Linked DNA regions of Styela clava. The protein of the gene in region 1 purifies or fractionates together with the protein of each later gene. This does not show direct contact. Links are inferred from orthologs where the notes say so. Each region holds a gene or a part of one and is shown on either strand. Other genes may lie near its edges.

The links.
Region 2: the proteins of vesicle transport through interaction with t-SNAREs homolog 1A-like (region 1) and vesicle-associated membrane protein 4-like purify together in Homo sapiens (affinity purification with mass spectrometry; 4 studies listed by BioGRID and IntAct, counting the BioPlex papers as one, with this or other methods). This does not show direct contact. The link is inferred for Styela clava from reciprocal best matches to the Homo sapiens genes VTI1A and VAMP4.

Annotation. Positions count from the first base shown.
Region 1 is NC_135260.1:9,561,129-9,569,225, reverse strand, and holds the start of vesicle transport through interaction with t-SNAREs homolog 1A-like, read left to right. Parts: upstream 1-5,004; 5' UTR 5,005-5,209; coding exon 5,210-5,303; intron 5,304-5,707; coding exon 5,708-5,766; intron 5,767-6,316; coding exon 6,317-6,427; intron 6,428-7,324; coding exon 7,325-7,408; intron 7,409-8,097. UniProt on the Homo sapiens protein: V-SNARE that mediates vesicle transport pathways through interactions with t-SNAREs on the target membrane. These interactions are proposed to mediate aspects of the specificity of vesicle trafficking and to promote fusion of the lipid bilayers.
Region 2 is NC_135258.1:11,720,075-11,727,857, forward strand, and holds the start of vesicle-associated membrane protein 4-like, read left to right. Parts: upstream 1-4,710; 5' UTR 4,711-4,722; intron 4,723-4,887; coding exon of another isoform or gene 4,888-4,970; intron 4,971-5,047; coding exon of another isoform or gene 5,048-5,183; intron 5,184-5,263; coding exon of another isoform or gene 5,264-5,421; intron 5,422-6,264; coding exon of another isoform or gene 6,265-6,388; intron 6,389-6,923; coding exon of another isoform or gene 6,924-7,124; intron 7,125-7,783. Other genes in the region: isoleucine--tRNA ligase, cytoplasmic-like, read right to left, coding at 58-137, 220-302, 797-983, 1,700-1,802, 2,203-2,312, 2,604-2,681, 3,912-4,003, 4,481-4,611 and 5 more. UniProt on the Homo sapiens protein: Involved in the pathway that functions to remove an inhibitor (probably synaptotagmin-4) of calcium-triggered exocytosis during the maturation of secretory granules.

The DNA.
Region 1 (8,097 bases):
TTGTAGCACTGAAAAATAATCTTGAATTCGAGTGGTTGGACAGTGGGCAAGGCTTTACAAACTGCATAGATAATGCACAGCAATAATTGGTCTAATTTTCTTCCGTACAGAATTTCATAACAATGGTTAGTGAAAGCGTGGTTGAATGTGTTCCACATATCTTGAAGAAAATCGGTGATACATAGCATATCACACAAATCTTTCAATAGCACATATGCGTAATTATATGTCTCCAGAAATGCCGCCATAAGAATTGGTTTCCATTTTTTAGGTTTAGATTCCTGTATGTGCTTTGTATCTGAAACACTGGAAGACTTTATGTCGAGATCCTTTTTCAATTCACTTTCTGAAATTTCACATTTTTTAGAGTTATTTTTAAACTTTTTCATTATATTTTGTTGAGAAAGTTCCTCCATAGCATTCTTAAGATCCTTAAATGAAGGCAAGAATGTTTTACATTCGTCGATTTTGGACCATATTGAAGAATCTGTGTTCCATATCACCATCTGCATTATGGAAGTGATAATAATTTGTGAGTACTCACTCAGTATTTTGAATGTTGCGTTAATTGAGAGCTTTTTTAAAAACTTTAGACAATCCAATGCTGAACCTTTAAAATGCTTTATCAATAATGTAAGACTAGCTCTGGGTGAAACATTATAATCCATCAAAGTTAGAGTTACAGAGCATATTTGTAAAGTTGCTTCAAATTCTATGGCTAGACAGTTTGCACCATCTTTATATTTTCTTTGTGCTACCAATTTCTGTGAAAGACATGAATATAGTTGGATACATCTTTGTACAATTTCTTCAACACTTTCAGTTACCAAAGTTAGATTTATTATACTTGGTAAACAACGGAGAAATTCTTGCCGTGCATTTTCAACCCTGATTTTGAGGTCGGCATCTTCTTCATTATCGCAAACACAGAGATTGAGAAATACCTTCACTTTCTTCCCATCCATACCGTACTGTAACCAAGTAAGGTGCGGTATCGTACAGGAGTGTTGAAACAGTGGTACAAAAATAATCAAGTCTATTAAACCAGAGACAATGCATAACAACAAGACGTCAAGCTTCCTTTGTTTATTAATATAATTCCCGACGATTTGTTAATCACTCTCTGCCACCTAGTGGGGGTTTACAACAAGCGGTTGTCTTCAGAGGTTGTTTGCGGTGGAAGTTGTTTCGAAGTTTTGCAGCATCACCATAATAGTTACGAAATTATTCTATCCCTTATTTAATAATGTAACCAAGTGTAATTTTTTGAGGATTTGTTAACCGCTATCTGCCACCTAGTGGAGGCTGGCCGCAAACGGCCATCTTCACAGGTTGTATGCGGTGGAAGTTGTTTCCAGTTTATGGGAAACAAGTATTGTTGTCCGGGATGTAATAGATAATCAACGCAAAAAAAGCATTGTCAAAATACCACTATGGAAAAATAAAACAGTACAGCGTAATACCGTCGAAGTTTTTAACTTCGGACAAAAAATTTAAGCTGGCATATATCAACTAAAATGTGACGTATTCATGCTCATGTCAATTTCTATTCTAGCATTGTTTTCAACTTTAATAATGTCGCCAAAAATGTACCGTATCACGATTTTCAACAACTCCTGAACAAAGTAGCAGTAATTCAGAAGACTCGAAAATGGATGTCGTACGCAAAATGACTCCATTGGGTCAATAAATCAACTTCATACTAGATGAAAAATCTTAACCCTAAGAAGATTGGTCATCCGAGGGAATTTACCAAAAAAGAATGGGCCCGATTTGCTTCATGTATTCAAATTATTGCTCGTTGGGTTTTTCCGATCGGTTCTAAAAACACGAGGAATATTGTAAAAAATTATTTGGATAGAAGAGAAATAAGTTCTTCATTTCCGGACAACAAACCTGGTGGATCGATAACTTCTGTAGAACACGCATTTAATATAGTACAAGTTGTACGTTAAGATATTCAATCATATTATTCAGAAATGAAAGACATAGTTAACCGAATACCACCAGCAAATTTTTTAATCGCGATGAAACTAACCTCCAAGACAACAAAGGAGAAAGCGACCAATTGTTTTGGATCGAACTCGAAGTAACAGATTAGAAAGGATTCAAGACTCTTCAAAAACTTCAAATTCCACGATGTTCTGCGAGCCAGCAGCTATCAAATTCGGTTCATACCACACTTGACCAAGTGTGTAGTTAGTCTGATCATTGGTCTGACATTTTATTTACCAGTCTGAGTACCGAGAAGTTTTTGCTATCAATTGACTTATATTTTTTTGTTGTGTATTTGTACTTTGATGAACAAAACAAAATAAACTCCCCCGCTCTCTCTAATGAGAATATTTATACATTTAATATTTAATGCACGACGAAAATAAAATTTATCTGGCCTCCCCGTTAGTCGTTGGGCCTCCCATATAATGATTCGCTTCTGGTTTAATTAATCTCACGTCGTCACATGGTGGTACTATAGAGTAAAGTAATTACGGGTTAACAGTGTTGAGCTCGTATGTCGTATATCTTTTCTTTATCTGATACCATATCTGAACGGGTCTGTGTAATTTGTTTTTATTAATCATTTTTAATCATTTTATTGTTATGCTGATAATGGAGGCGAAATAAACTTGTATTATTGGACACGTAGTGGACATAACGATCGTTTCAATATTATGTTGTTGTTGTTCTTGTTCTTGTTCTTGTTGTTGTTCTTGTTCTTGTTCTTTGACACGTTTTTAAAAAGTCGCTTTTCTCTTCGAATACTGGACCAATTGCTTTGAAATTTTCAGTGGTTGAAGATTAATTTTTTCGCTAGAAGGCTATTACTTTTGTTTATTCTTAAATTTTATATGAATCCTATGAGATATGATATTTCATACAAAATTTCGCGGTATTTATTTTTACTCATGGGAACACTGTTTTACACTTATTTCAAGCGGTTTCGCGATCGATTGTCTTGCTCAGTACTACAGCTACTGTAGGTCGGTACTGGTAAGTTGCCATACCGGTGCCGTAACGCAGTGAAATTGACTTATTCCTTAGGATAGGATAGGATAGGATTTACATATTTATCCCGGGGGAGAGGAAAGCCGATAAGACGGCTTATCCATATGGCGAACCACGGCCTCTCGTCCGGTTACCATTCCAAGCCAGACTGGATTCCATGGCAGGTGCACGCCCGAGGGCGCTAGCGCTCCGCAAAAATGCACGCGAGCGAAATCAATTTTGCACGCCGAAAATTTGCAATTGCTCACCAATGTAAATCGGTTTAAATGGTTTTAAAATCAATAATCCAGTAATATAAAGATGCCAAAATATTATAACTCCACAATTGTCGACAAATACCAGCCTGCAAGATTTGGTCTGATCGAAATATTGCGAAGCAAAAAGACCATGGACCTTTTCCCAACCTTTGACCCGCGAAAAATTCCTCTCATTGTTACGTCCTTTTTTGCATCTTGCTGATTGGCCAATGTCACGAAGTAAACAAGGAAGTCGATGCACGGGGAAAGGTCCATATCGTGTTGAATGATAGGAAATAGGAATCCCGTGCGAATAGTTATGGACGAAAAGATCACTTCCGCACCAATGGCCAAGTACGGCTCTGATTCAGCGTATTTTTCATACAATAATTTTACACGAATGTACTGAACAGTACCGGTATCTAAAGTTGCTCAAACACTCCCAAAATTAGTGACAAAGTATGAAAATAATGTTTGGGGTCAAAGGTCAAACGTCCATTTTGCTCTAATTTGACGTATTTTTTATCCATTAATTCTACGTAAAAACACTACCAAAATTAATGACAAAGTATATCCATTTTGCTCTGGTTCAACGTATTTTTTATCTAATAATTTTACGCGGATGTACTGAACAGTACCGGTATCCAAAGTCGCACAAACACTCTCAAAATTAGCGACAAACTGTAGGAATAATGTTTGGGGTCAAAGGTCAAACGTCCATTTTTTCTCTGATTCAACGTATTTTTTATCCGATACCGGTAGTTTTACGCGGATGTATTGAGAGGTATCTGATGTCAAAGTCAGTTGCACGCGAGTGCAGTTGTTTTGCACGTCGTGAGCTATAATTGCACGCCAGGAATTCTTATTTGCACGCGGGAATTTCTGATTGCACGCCCGATTTCTCGTTCAAAAAGGCCATGAAATCCAGACTGGATTCCAAGTCGGGTATGGGATTAGTTTTTACTGTATTGTTTGTTTTTCGGAAGCATGGACTTGGTGGTGGAGGAAGCCGTAACCGACCAGCGGTTACGTGAACCACCCAACGACGGCGAGGAGTCCAGCAATCCTCTCGCACATAACCATCCCTGCATGGGATTCGAACCTGCGAACCCACGCAGAGTGATTAGAGGTGCGGTGGCGAGCGTATTCCTAACGCTTAGCCCGTTGAGCCACACCGCCGCCTTCCGCGGTATTACTAATGCTGCAATGCAAGTTTTATAGCCTATCGTATGCGGAACGGAATATCAGACCTACAGGTTCGGTACTGGTACTGGTGCCGGTACCGGTGTCTTACCACAATGAAATTACCGTACCGTAACTTATTCTTTCACGGTCCTACCAGTGCAGTGATGCAAGCGTTGTAGCACTTGTAGCCTACTATATTTGTTTATTTTGATGAGAGTCTACTGGAAACAACATAAAATTTGAAAGGGAAGAATTGTTCTGTGATCAATTATCTGTCCTAAAGTGTAAACAACATAAAATTTGCAAGGGAACAACTGTTCTGTGATCAATTACCGTATATGGCCTACAGTGTACAGGTAAGATGCTGCCTGACTGCTAACTCAGTACCGCTTGACACGTTTTTAAAAAGTCGCTTTTCTCTTCGAATACTGGACCAATTGCTTTGAAATTTTTAGTGGTTAAAGATAAAAATTTTCTCCAGAAGTCTATTACTTCTTTTTTCGCTATGACGTCATCGAAATTATGTGACTCTACGTGTCCATATATTTGAGCATAGCTCTCTTGTACTTTTATTATGAATAATGTTACAACATGTTTGGTATTTAGGCGTTTGAAATTAGGCTTATGTTACCATATTCATTTTATTGCAACTTGAAAGTCAAATACCAGAATACTGAAACAAGGTAACAACCGGTACAGATACCGTGATACATTTCTTACATCTGTACATTGCTGTTTCCGTCAGCTGCATTGTGCTGTTGTGAAGCAAGCGGACATCCAACATGGCTGCGATTTTTGAATCGTATGAGCAACAGTTTTCATCATTAACTGCTGAAATAACAAGAAGATTGGGCTCTGTATCTTCATTATATGGGGGTATGTGATATAATATTTACCAGCGCTATCAAATAATGCTGTATTGGGTTTTTAGCTTTGGTAGAAGTCACGATTCTGGTCGAACGAAAACGATGTGTCATTTTTTTGCTAAAATGTGATCTTTTTAGTCAAAAAGTAAATAAGACTGTGCGATTGAATAAGATAACAGATTCAGAGATACCATAGAATCTGCCAGAAGCACAATACGACACAATTTAGCCATGATATAAACGATTGAAAATTTCATTTGTGTTTCAAAGTTGCAAGATATCCGAAGTTAGTCGTTTTTGCGATGCCTATTATTTTCTATGCAACTGTAGTCTAATATCGTTAAAGTTTAGGACTGAATAAAGTAGAATAATTCATTTCCTGAATTATATTTTTGCCCTCATTATTCATTTCAGTTGACAAAAAGACTGTGATAAGCTCAATAGAAAGACAACTTGATGAAGCCCAGGAATTGGTAAGAATATTTGCATTTTCTACGATGCAGACTTAGGCACGTGGAGGCATAGTGTAACAAGTACAGTTTCTCTTCTACAAAAATAATGTTGATATATTTAAGTGAATTTTGATTGCATCTTGATTAGCTTTGGTCTACTGTCAGACTGTAGGAATGAAGTATGACTTATGTAATTGATTTCTTTTAAAAGATTGATATCATATTAATTTTCAACAAATCTATGTGAGAAATAGCAGGAAAGATACAGGGCTTAAAATTAAGTTTCAAATGTGATCTTTAACCCCATTTCGATCAAGGCTCATTCTGCTCGGACAAATTTTATCAATTCTCATTTAAAAGTAATGCTGGATCGTATCAAAATCATCTGTCCCAATTGTCATTTTTGCTTTTGTGGTTTTAATAATCACCATATGAGTTCATTCCCTCGCGGACTGCCAACGTCTATTTGATTTTTTAATTCGATGTAAGAAATATTGAATTCTTCGGAATACTTTTAAGAAAGTGTTTTGTTTTTGTCAATTGTCTCAAAGTCAATATTATTTTTTGCCAGTTGGAACAAATGGATTTAGAAGTTCGAGATATGCCCAGTGCTGAAAGAGGAAAACTAATGAGCCGTGTGAAAAGTTATCAAACAGAATATACAAATTTGGAATCTCAATTGGTGGGTGCTATTGGTTTGCATATTTTAAACCAGTTTTTCTGACCAATGTGTGGGTACTAATCCCTTCCAAGATTCATCACACGCACGCACACACACACGCTGATTCATTTTTTATTTATATTGCAGCTCAATAAAGGCAACCCTAAGTATTTAACAATATTTTTCATAATGCCATCTACTTCCTGACTTGTTAGCTGAAAATAAGCATTTTGAGAAAGTGTGATGCTTTATTTGTCAAAATCCTAAAACTGATTTTCTGAATTATTGATGTTTGTTGGAGCCCAGCATGGCAGTCATGCACTGATATACATATTATTTTCTTTTTTGTCAGTTTCGAAGATAGGTTAGTAATTATAGTGTATGGATAGCATAAGTGGACATAGTCGATAAATATTTTATTCTCTTGTTGTATTTTTGGTTGTACTTTCATTAAATAATTCTCAAATGATACTTTTTTTGATTTTTGATGAAATAACATCACACAACTCAATATATTGAGTAATAAAGTATCAATGACAAATAAAACAATATAAAATAAAATTACCAACGAATCCCCAATTTTTCAAGGTGTTCTTTAGCATGCTGTTTGTATTTTGACGGTTTTGTTTAAAAAGAGCGTACTGTATAGTTTTTCTGTTTCATTCTGATAATTTGTTACAGAATATTTCATCCAATATCGATGGATAAATTATGTACATGAATTCTTCTGAAATAAAGAATCCAAGAAATTAAGTTCAAACAAATATAATAAAGTATATTTGTGTTATTATCTTGAGATTATGTTTGATGCAAAGGTGTGATAATTGATGTTTAGACGGTCTGCTCTATAGAAGCAATCCCAGATTACAGCAGCCAATATATTCCAACCTTTATTTTATCATATACATATTGTTACAGAAAAAGCACAAAACTTCAGCAAAAGATGCCGCAAAAATGAGGGAAGAGTTGTTAGAATATGATGATGGTTCAACGAATGACCAGGTGATTAAATTTATTTGCATTTTCTTTTCAAATATTTGTATGACTCACAAATAATCAGTTTGGATTTGGACATATCTCCTAAATCCCTATTTAGAATTAGAATTAACGTTGTAAAAAAAAATATGAATATTAACGCTATTTACATGATAAATAAGATCAGGGACATTTTTATTTAAATGTTGGGCATCTTAGTTTTAAAATATCTTTATTTTTTACAAATTTCAATGAATATCCTGATAGTAATAAACATGTAATGACTGGAACATTACACTATTTTATCAATGCAATCACCATGGATATAGAATATCCAAATCATTGTGTAATATAGATTGATCGTTAAATCCAATTGGTTGCTATTGGTTTATTTTAAGTGTAGGAAATTAGCACAACATCTGGTATCTAATGGGAACCAAAATTATGAATGGCTGGTGTTTTTAAAAAATATTTATATTGAGTTTTGGTTGGATAATCCTGGGTGAATACTCTGGACAATGTTAAAGGCTTTCAAACTCACAAAAGGGTGACACCTAAAAAAGCTGTTTTGAGAAAGTGAGAAAAACGTATAATTTTTTATTTTTGAACTCTGAAACATCCCTCAAACTATGATTTTATGCCAGCCTAAACAGCACCTATTTCTCTGTAATATTTCCAAATAATTTTTTTTTTTCAAAATTTCAACATTTTGAACA
Region 2 (7,783 bases), on another chromosome or scaffold:
TGTAATCAAAGTTTATATAAGTAAAAGAAGAGAATCGAAAATAATCATTAATCATACTTCGATGGAGCGTCTCCTGAGGCCGATTCGAAATGATAAATAATTCTGAGATCTCCCTCACCAAGTTGATGGCCACCAATCTGAAAAATATAAGAAAAAAATTAGAATTTAGCTATCATTTCTTGTGAAAGATAAAATGAGAAAACAAATAGTTAAACTGACCTCGATAGATCCTTTCTGCAAATAGTCTTCAACTTGCTGACTTGATAATTTAGCTATTTCTGCCGATACTTGTTTGAATTCACCTGTAAAATGTGTATATTAAACAACTTTGCTAGTTGAGTACGTCGAGAGCCCTAAACTGAATTAGAATGATCATTGACAAAAATATGGTAAGCAACTAATGAATAGAGCTACGAATAGATGTATTATTCATTTGGTTATGCTATATTGCCTATATAATACTTTGAAGTGATGCACATTGTTAACTGTCAATGACGCAATAACTCTTTAAGCTGTGCAAAAACAGGAGTGCTACTTGTGAATAACTTTAGTAAAGTATCTATTAAAGATTAAACAAAAGAAGCAATAGATAACGAAGAAGGAATAATAAGTTCCAAAATTCCAGGAGGAGTTTTAAAAAAGGTTGCGAACCACTGGATTAAGATTTTTGTTAGAAACCAGATTGTTTGGTATTCTCAGTTTGTGATTAGAAGAGGATTAATGTAAAAATGCAACATTTAGTAGCAGGCTTTATGAAAATTTGATTTCAAAATTAACAAAAAAAATGGGAAATTACCTTTCAAACGTTTCCCGAGAATCATGTGATCAGGTTGTGCGCGAAGACTAACTTCATATTTGTCTTTATCGGAAGAAGTCGTGATCTTGCGTACATTCAATTCCTCGGAAACATATCGCTCCAAACTAGCAACATCATCCAGATATTCTTTGCTTTTGTGGATGATGACAACCTCAGGCAAAGGGTACTGTAAGAAATTAAATTTCATATAAGCTAACATGAAAATAATTGTACTGGAAAGAGATCTGCAGTTAAATCATGCCTAACAAACAATAAACTATTAGCATAGCTTGACTTGACTTGACTGGATGAAAGCACGGGTCGCACCTTTATATAGGCTTTCTAGTAGTTGCTTGCACAAAAATTTTGGTTATTGATCCTATGACATGCGTTGTTCACTTCGCACAAGCTAGCTGTTAGGACATTATGACGCAGACAGTAAATTAGATAATAATGAGTAAGATAATAGTAGTGGAGAATAATGCATAGATAATAAATTAGAGTAGACTAGAGTATAGGCTTTGCAACACAAAGGGATTGGAATCCCTCGCATGCACCAGATTAAACCAAATCAAAAATTTATCCGCGGGCCACACAATTTTTTCTTGTGGGCCACAATCGGCCAGCAGGCTGCAGGTTGTGTATACCATTGAGGCTGGCATCAGTAACATGCTTACAGAAAAATAACAATACAAAATAAGACTATTTGCACAAACTTGCAGTGACATGTGAAATGAAATGTTTGCCTGCAGTTGACGACGACAAAATTTAAAACCAAGTTTGATTTGTTAACAGAGAATGATTATTTTAAATGGCCGTCTGAAAAAGGACTGAATCTTCATAGTTTTTCCTTCAGAATGACAAAAGAACGAAGAATCGTATGCAGTCGAAATCAGTTAATACCTTGATTGGCATTGTATTTCTATCTCTGATTATTCTTCCTAATTCAATAACAGTTTGCATCCTTGAAACTGCTCTCTCAATTTCCACATTAATCAGTTTCTCACTAAAATTGAGAAAATAAAATATAAATAATTTACAATGAATATATAAAACTATAAACGCTGGTCTTATAACATAGATAAAGCATATCAGTAATTCTAAAGAATATTTGGATTACTGTATTTGCATTATCTATGATTGCCTGCGTTTCGTGGAAATTTATGAATAGTCAGAAACAAAATGAATATAATTTCAGTTATCGCTGGCTATAATTAACAATACAAATCAGTAATTTCTATGTTGTTGTCTATTTGGTTGTATTAAAATGAGATTGTATGAAGAAGGATCATGATGGAAATTCCTAGAGTGAAAATAAGGCAACCATATACAGTGGTCACAATTGATGAATCACAATTTCTCCAATGGTTTATGAAAAGAGTAAATTAAGTTCTTGAATATCTTACTTCGCATCTGGGAACATCAAATAATGGATACTTTCAGCATTTTCTTTAGATTTCAAAACTTTCTTGAGATTTTGATACATATGCTCAGTAAGGAACGGAGTAAATGGACTCTGAAAAAAAAAGGATTACAGACTGCATAATAGATGTATTTTTGTTATCATGTGACATTTTTTGTGCGGCTTATTTACAAGCCTTTTGCTCCAAACAAGGAAGTAAAGTCATTAACAACTAGTACATATTCACTCGCTAAAATCCAAGGCCACCCACCCAAATAGGCCACCCAAGCCCCCCCCCCGAAGCCGTGCCTTGCAATAAAACACATAAAAAAAATCATTTATAGTAAAATGGCAGCTGATCTGCATTTTGATTAAAGATAGAGTTTTGGAATCATAAAAACTTACCATTTCTCTAATCATTGTGTACAGAACACTATAAAGTGTTTGCAATGCTTTTTGACAATCTTCAGGTCCACCGTCACCCTGAAACATTCAAAGAGTCAAGTGAATTGTCAGCTATAACTTGCTCTTTGACCTGATATTATATAAACAAGATTAGAAGAAGCTCTATAATAATATAAAAAGTTAATTAGACAACTTCAAATCAATATAAAAAGGATTGTTTATCATTTAAATAGAGAATAAAAAAGCATAGAAAAAGAATTGTAATAAGGATAGGATTTCATATTTATACCAGGGAGAGAAGAACGACAAAAAGGTTTACCTCTCGTCCGGTTACCAGTCCATGTCAGGTATGGGATTTGTTAGCCAGATATTTTGTTTTTGAAAAAATGGAATTGATGGTGGAAGTAGCCATAAGCCCCATGTAACATTGATTAAGAAATAAACTCAAGAAAAATTTCCATTTTAAAAGCCATTTTATAGTCAACACACTTTAAAATATGTATTTATAATAATATATACGTTAATAATATAAGTTACATTCGCTGATTCAAAGTTGCATCATCCAAAACTGATAAAAGAATTTCCATAAAAGGCGACCTAGTCATAGGTAAACATATTCTATCACAGAAAACTACTTGTTTTTGAAGTTTGGCAATGAAATTCACCTGGAGCTCAAACAAGGTTCTATTTGTAATCCATTCTGGTTATTTCCTACAATGTTTACTTATCTGATAATATTATCAAAGGTTACTTTGAGAATTTGGAGTGTTTTATACAGAGTAAATAGTAATATTAGGATTTTTATTGGCATTGCTATCCAAAAAATTGGATTTTCTTAATATTAAATGTCACCCTTCTTTTGATAAATCGAATAAATCAAAATGAAATTTAATTCCAGACGTAAAAGCATATAAGATTGAAAATCTAGACAAACAAATAGTGATTTATCACTGCACCCATTAGGGTAAACATGCTGTAGTATACCAGAATAAGCGGTGTGAGTAGTAATGGCGTATTAAAATAGATATATGTTGATTAAACCTTCAACAAAATCTCAGATTTTATTAAAAATCGACAACCTATTTTAAAAGTAAAATAATTCTCTGTAATAGTAAAACTACAATATTAGAATGCAAAAAATGCTATTTTATTGAGGCACAATGTTATCTTCCAATAACGTTATAAAACTTATTCAATTACAGTGCATAAAATAGAGATAAACGTGTTTAACTAAAATTTAAACACACATATTCCCAATAAATATCATGGACATCCACAAATTTAACTAAAACAAGCAAATATAAAAACCTTCAATCTTTTCCTGTTTGATCTGACGTACCAGTTTGTCAATAAATCCACAAATTTGACCAATCGAGGAACGACAGTATACAAGTGGTATGCTGCAAAGTAAAATATCCAATTCACCAAATAAGATAGTCTTAATGAAAATCAATTATTGAGAAGCGCAAGTCGCTGTGTTATGAAAATAAAGTAGCACTGCACAATGAGACCCACATGGCTTCATTATCATGCAATGTCATTTGCACAGCATACATCATGGTTGTCAATTGCAATATATTTTAAAATCTCGTTCGTTTATGTTGATACAGTAGCAATGCTCAAGATAAAATCCTAAAATATTATGCAAATGATTTTCTCTAAGGATTCAACTTCAAAATGTTTTGACAAATATGCAATAGAAGTCCATGTTTATTTGATCATGAAGAGATATGTTCGATAAAAAAAATTGAAACATTTTGATAAAGAAAATTTTGGAATTTTGGCCAAACTATTGGCAATTCAGATTTAGCTTGCACACACAATTTACATGGATACGATGATAGGCTAAAGTTTCAACTGCGATTGAGATATCACACCTTTCATTTCCTTTTTCACATACAGTACAAGTGATTGTATTGATGACAGAATCCATTTGTCCATTATGTTGTCTGAACTTCCAAGATCATCTTCTTTGTATTTGAATTCAATGCCTTCTTCCTTTTGAAGCCTTAAAACAAGTGCAACTTCATTTTATTGAAATAAGCAATGGATGAAATTTGCATTATAATTTTGAACAAATAGGAGTGAATATGACATTGGAGTATTTGGTTGTATTAAGGTATAAAAATAGGATCGCTTTAAAATGACTACGGCTGCTTCTCATTAATATAAGACATGATGGAAATGCTAACACATTCCCAATTAAACCAGAAGAGTGATTAAAATTTAATAAACTGAAATTTTTGTTTCTACAAATTGAAATTTGAATTGGTCCAAAACTTACCTTATTACGTTCTGCACAAAAAATCTGTATGCATTGTACCAAGGTAGAAAAACATCTTTCAAAATATCTCGTACACCATTTTCCTAAAAATAAAAAGAAACATTTATATTGCAAAAAATATTCCCTATTTATAACAAATAAAAAACAAGCAATACAGTACCTGAAATCTCAAATTCTCGGCACGAACCACAGGTGAATTGATCAAATATAATCGGAGAGCATCTGCACCATATGCATGTACAACTTTGATTGGATCAGGATAGTTTTTCTTCCTTTTGCTCATTTTCTGACCATCGCTGAGATTAAGTATTAACAACATTGAATTATGAACAACATGAATAAATCAAAAATGGTATTAACAATATCGATGCCATACCTGGCAAGAACGAGTCCATTGACAATTAGATTTTGAAATGGAGGTTTCCCAAACAAAGCAGTGGATAATACCAGCAAGGTATAAAACCATCCTCTTGTTTGATCAATTCCTTCAGCAATGAAATGAGCTGGAAAACTGTCTTCAAATTCTTTCTTGTTCTAAAGACATAAAAATTATGAATAATTACCACAACTGGTTTGCCATAGAATATTTTTTATGCTTGGGAAATTTGGATAACTCTCATTGCTGTGTGACCAGACCACTAACAATGATTCCAATGCAGGTTAATAGTGAAGCAATAATAATAGGCCTAAAAGGAAACAAAAATTAAGGTATAATCCATGCTAAATTCCAAATCAAGAAAGTCTTGGCAGTTGGAATGCATCATAGATTGAGACATAAGAAACCAAAAACTTGAAACAATTGAAATGAAATTTACGCAATTGCTTGACTTGTGAATATGACTGAGCATTTTGAATCAAATATTTGAACAATAATTTTTTTTAAATGGTTCAGATCAAACTTTCGAATGATCGCCATCTTTTTTCTAGTCTTCCGTTCAAGGTCAAGAATCTTTCCATTTTTTTATTGCAACCATATTCTTAAAATGCAATCTTGTCGTATGACATTTTTTCTACTAGTGAGATATTGATAAAATCTGTTTCTTATTGTGGGTGACAACTCAGCAATTTGTCTAAGTAATAGATTCTATGTTTTCAGTAATTTATGTGTATGAAGGACATATGGCGATAAAAAAGTTAATACATACAGTTACCCTTTTCCAAGTATTCGAGATTCGATTAGATTGAGTAAAATTTTTTGATTCAATTCAGAAATCATCAGGTATTCGAAAATACCCACCTCATATGTTGTATTTATTAAATGCATGCATATATTATTAAGCTTTTCCTTGCCCAGTCCAGTGAATCAAGTTCCAGGACAGAATCTTAAGGCATTGAGGAAACAGAACTTTAAGGCATTGAGGAAAAATAATAGCATACCTCAAATGGATAATGCATTTGAGCATAAGGCATAGATCCACTTTCAAACCAGCAATCAAATACTTCGGATATACGACGTAAAACTCCTTTTCCAAGGCGTGATGGTATAGTGATGCCATCAACACTAAAGAGAAATAGCAAAGCATGAAGTTGGAAAATTGACAGACAATAAGAAACAGAAGATTGACAGTAGTTAAAAACAGAAACAAAAGGATTATCCGCTAAAAAAAATAAAGGCTCTCTAAAAAGCAAAAAATTTGTGAATTTTCATGTATATACATAATGTTGAACTTGTCAAATAATTATAAACGAATGATGAAGATCAGATAATGATTAACAAAAGAAGCAAGATTTCAAAAGCTTGAACTAAATTATAAGTAAATTATGACACAGATAAATGTTAATATGCTAAATGCAGGGGGCATAGCCATTTCAGAACCGAAGTTTCAAATTCAAAATCGGAGATTCGCCTGCAATGGCTTCTGAAACCACCTATTAAAAGAGGTGATTCTTCTGAGAATACTGATTTTTCTGTTGCATAAAATATGCAATCCCTGTCCAATAGAAGCATTAAGAATGCCTTGCCATATTAATTAATTATGTTCAACTCACGACTCGTTGACATACGACAAAATAAAAACATCATTACTCTAAAATACCTTTCTCTATGAAGATCAGTGACTTTGACCCCAGATAATTGTTCCAATTCCTCTATGGACCCGATGCAAACGATTTCTTCGAAATCCTCGCTGACCCACAATGGTATTGGAGTACCCCAATATCTATTACGAGAAACGGCCCAGTCATGAGCATCCCGAAGCCAGTTTGCAAAACGTTTTTCTTTGACAAAATTAGGAACCCTGAAATGGAGAGAAAATTATAATGTGAAATTAAATAGCTGAAAGTGACATATTATTTTTCTTATGTATCGCATTTCTGAGTAGTGAGAGTGGTCGGCCTAAGCTATGTTGGTGTCACAGGTCAAAAATTTCTGGTTCAATCTCAGAAGCTGACTTCGCTACCCGTGTTGTAATTGGATTAGCAATGGAATCGACTGGAAAGATTTCAATTCATCAAAAATGGTAGATAATTATGTTGTACGATGCCTATGTTGCAGGTTAGCAATGGACTGAAAGGCTCCAATCCATCAAAATCAGTATCTAATTACGTAGTCACTGGCCTTCGAAGAGAAGGTATGAAAACACCTCATAAAATGACCATGGTTCGCATAATTTTTTCTTCCACCATTCGGTCAATGCATCCACAACAATTAGCTACTTCCACCTAGTCTTGTAACTAGAAAAACTGATAACTTGTCATAAGAGTATGTCGTCTGGCACCTTTTTTCTTCGAGCTAACCAAGATAACCAATAAATATTTCAATAATACTCACAAAATAAAAAAAACTTCACTTTGCATCACATTTCATTGGCAATTCATGATAATATTTTCATATTTATCCCAAGGGAGGGAAAAGCTGAAAGATGGATTAACCACCACGGCCTATGTCTGGTTATCG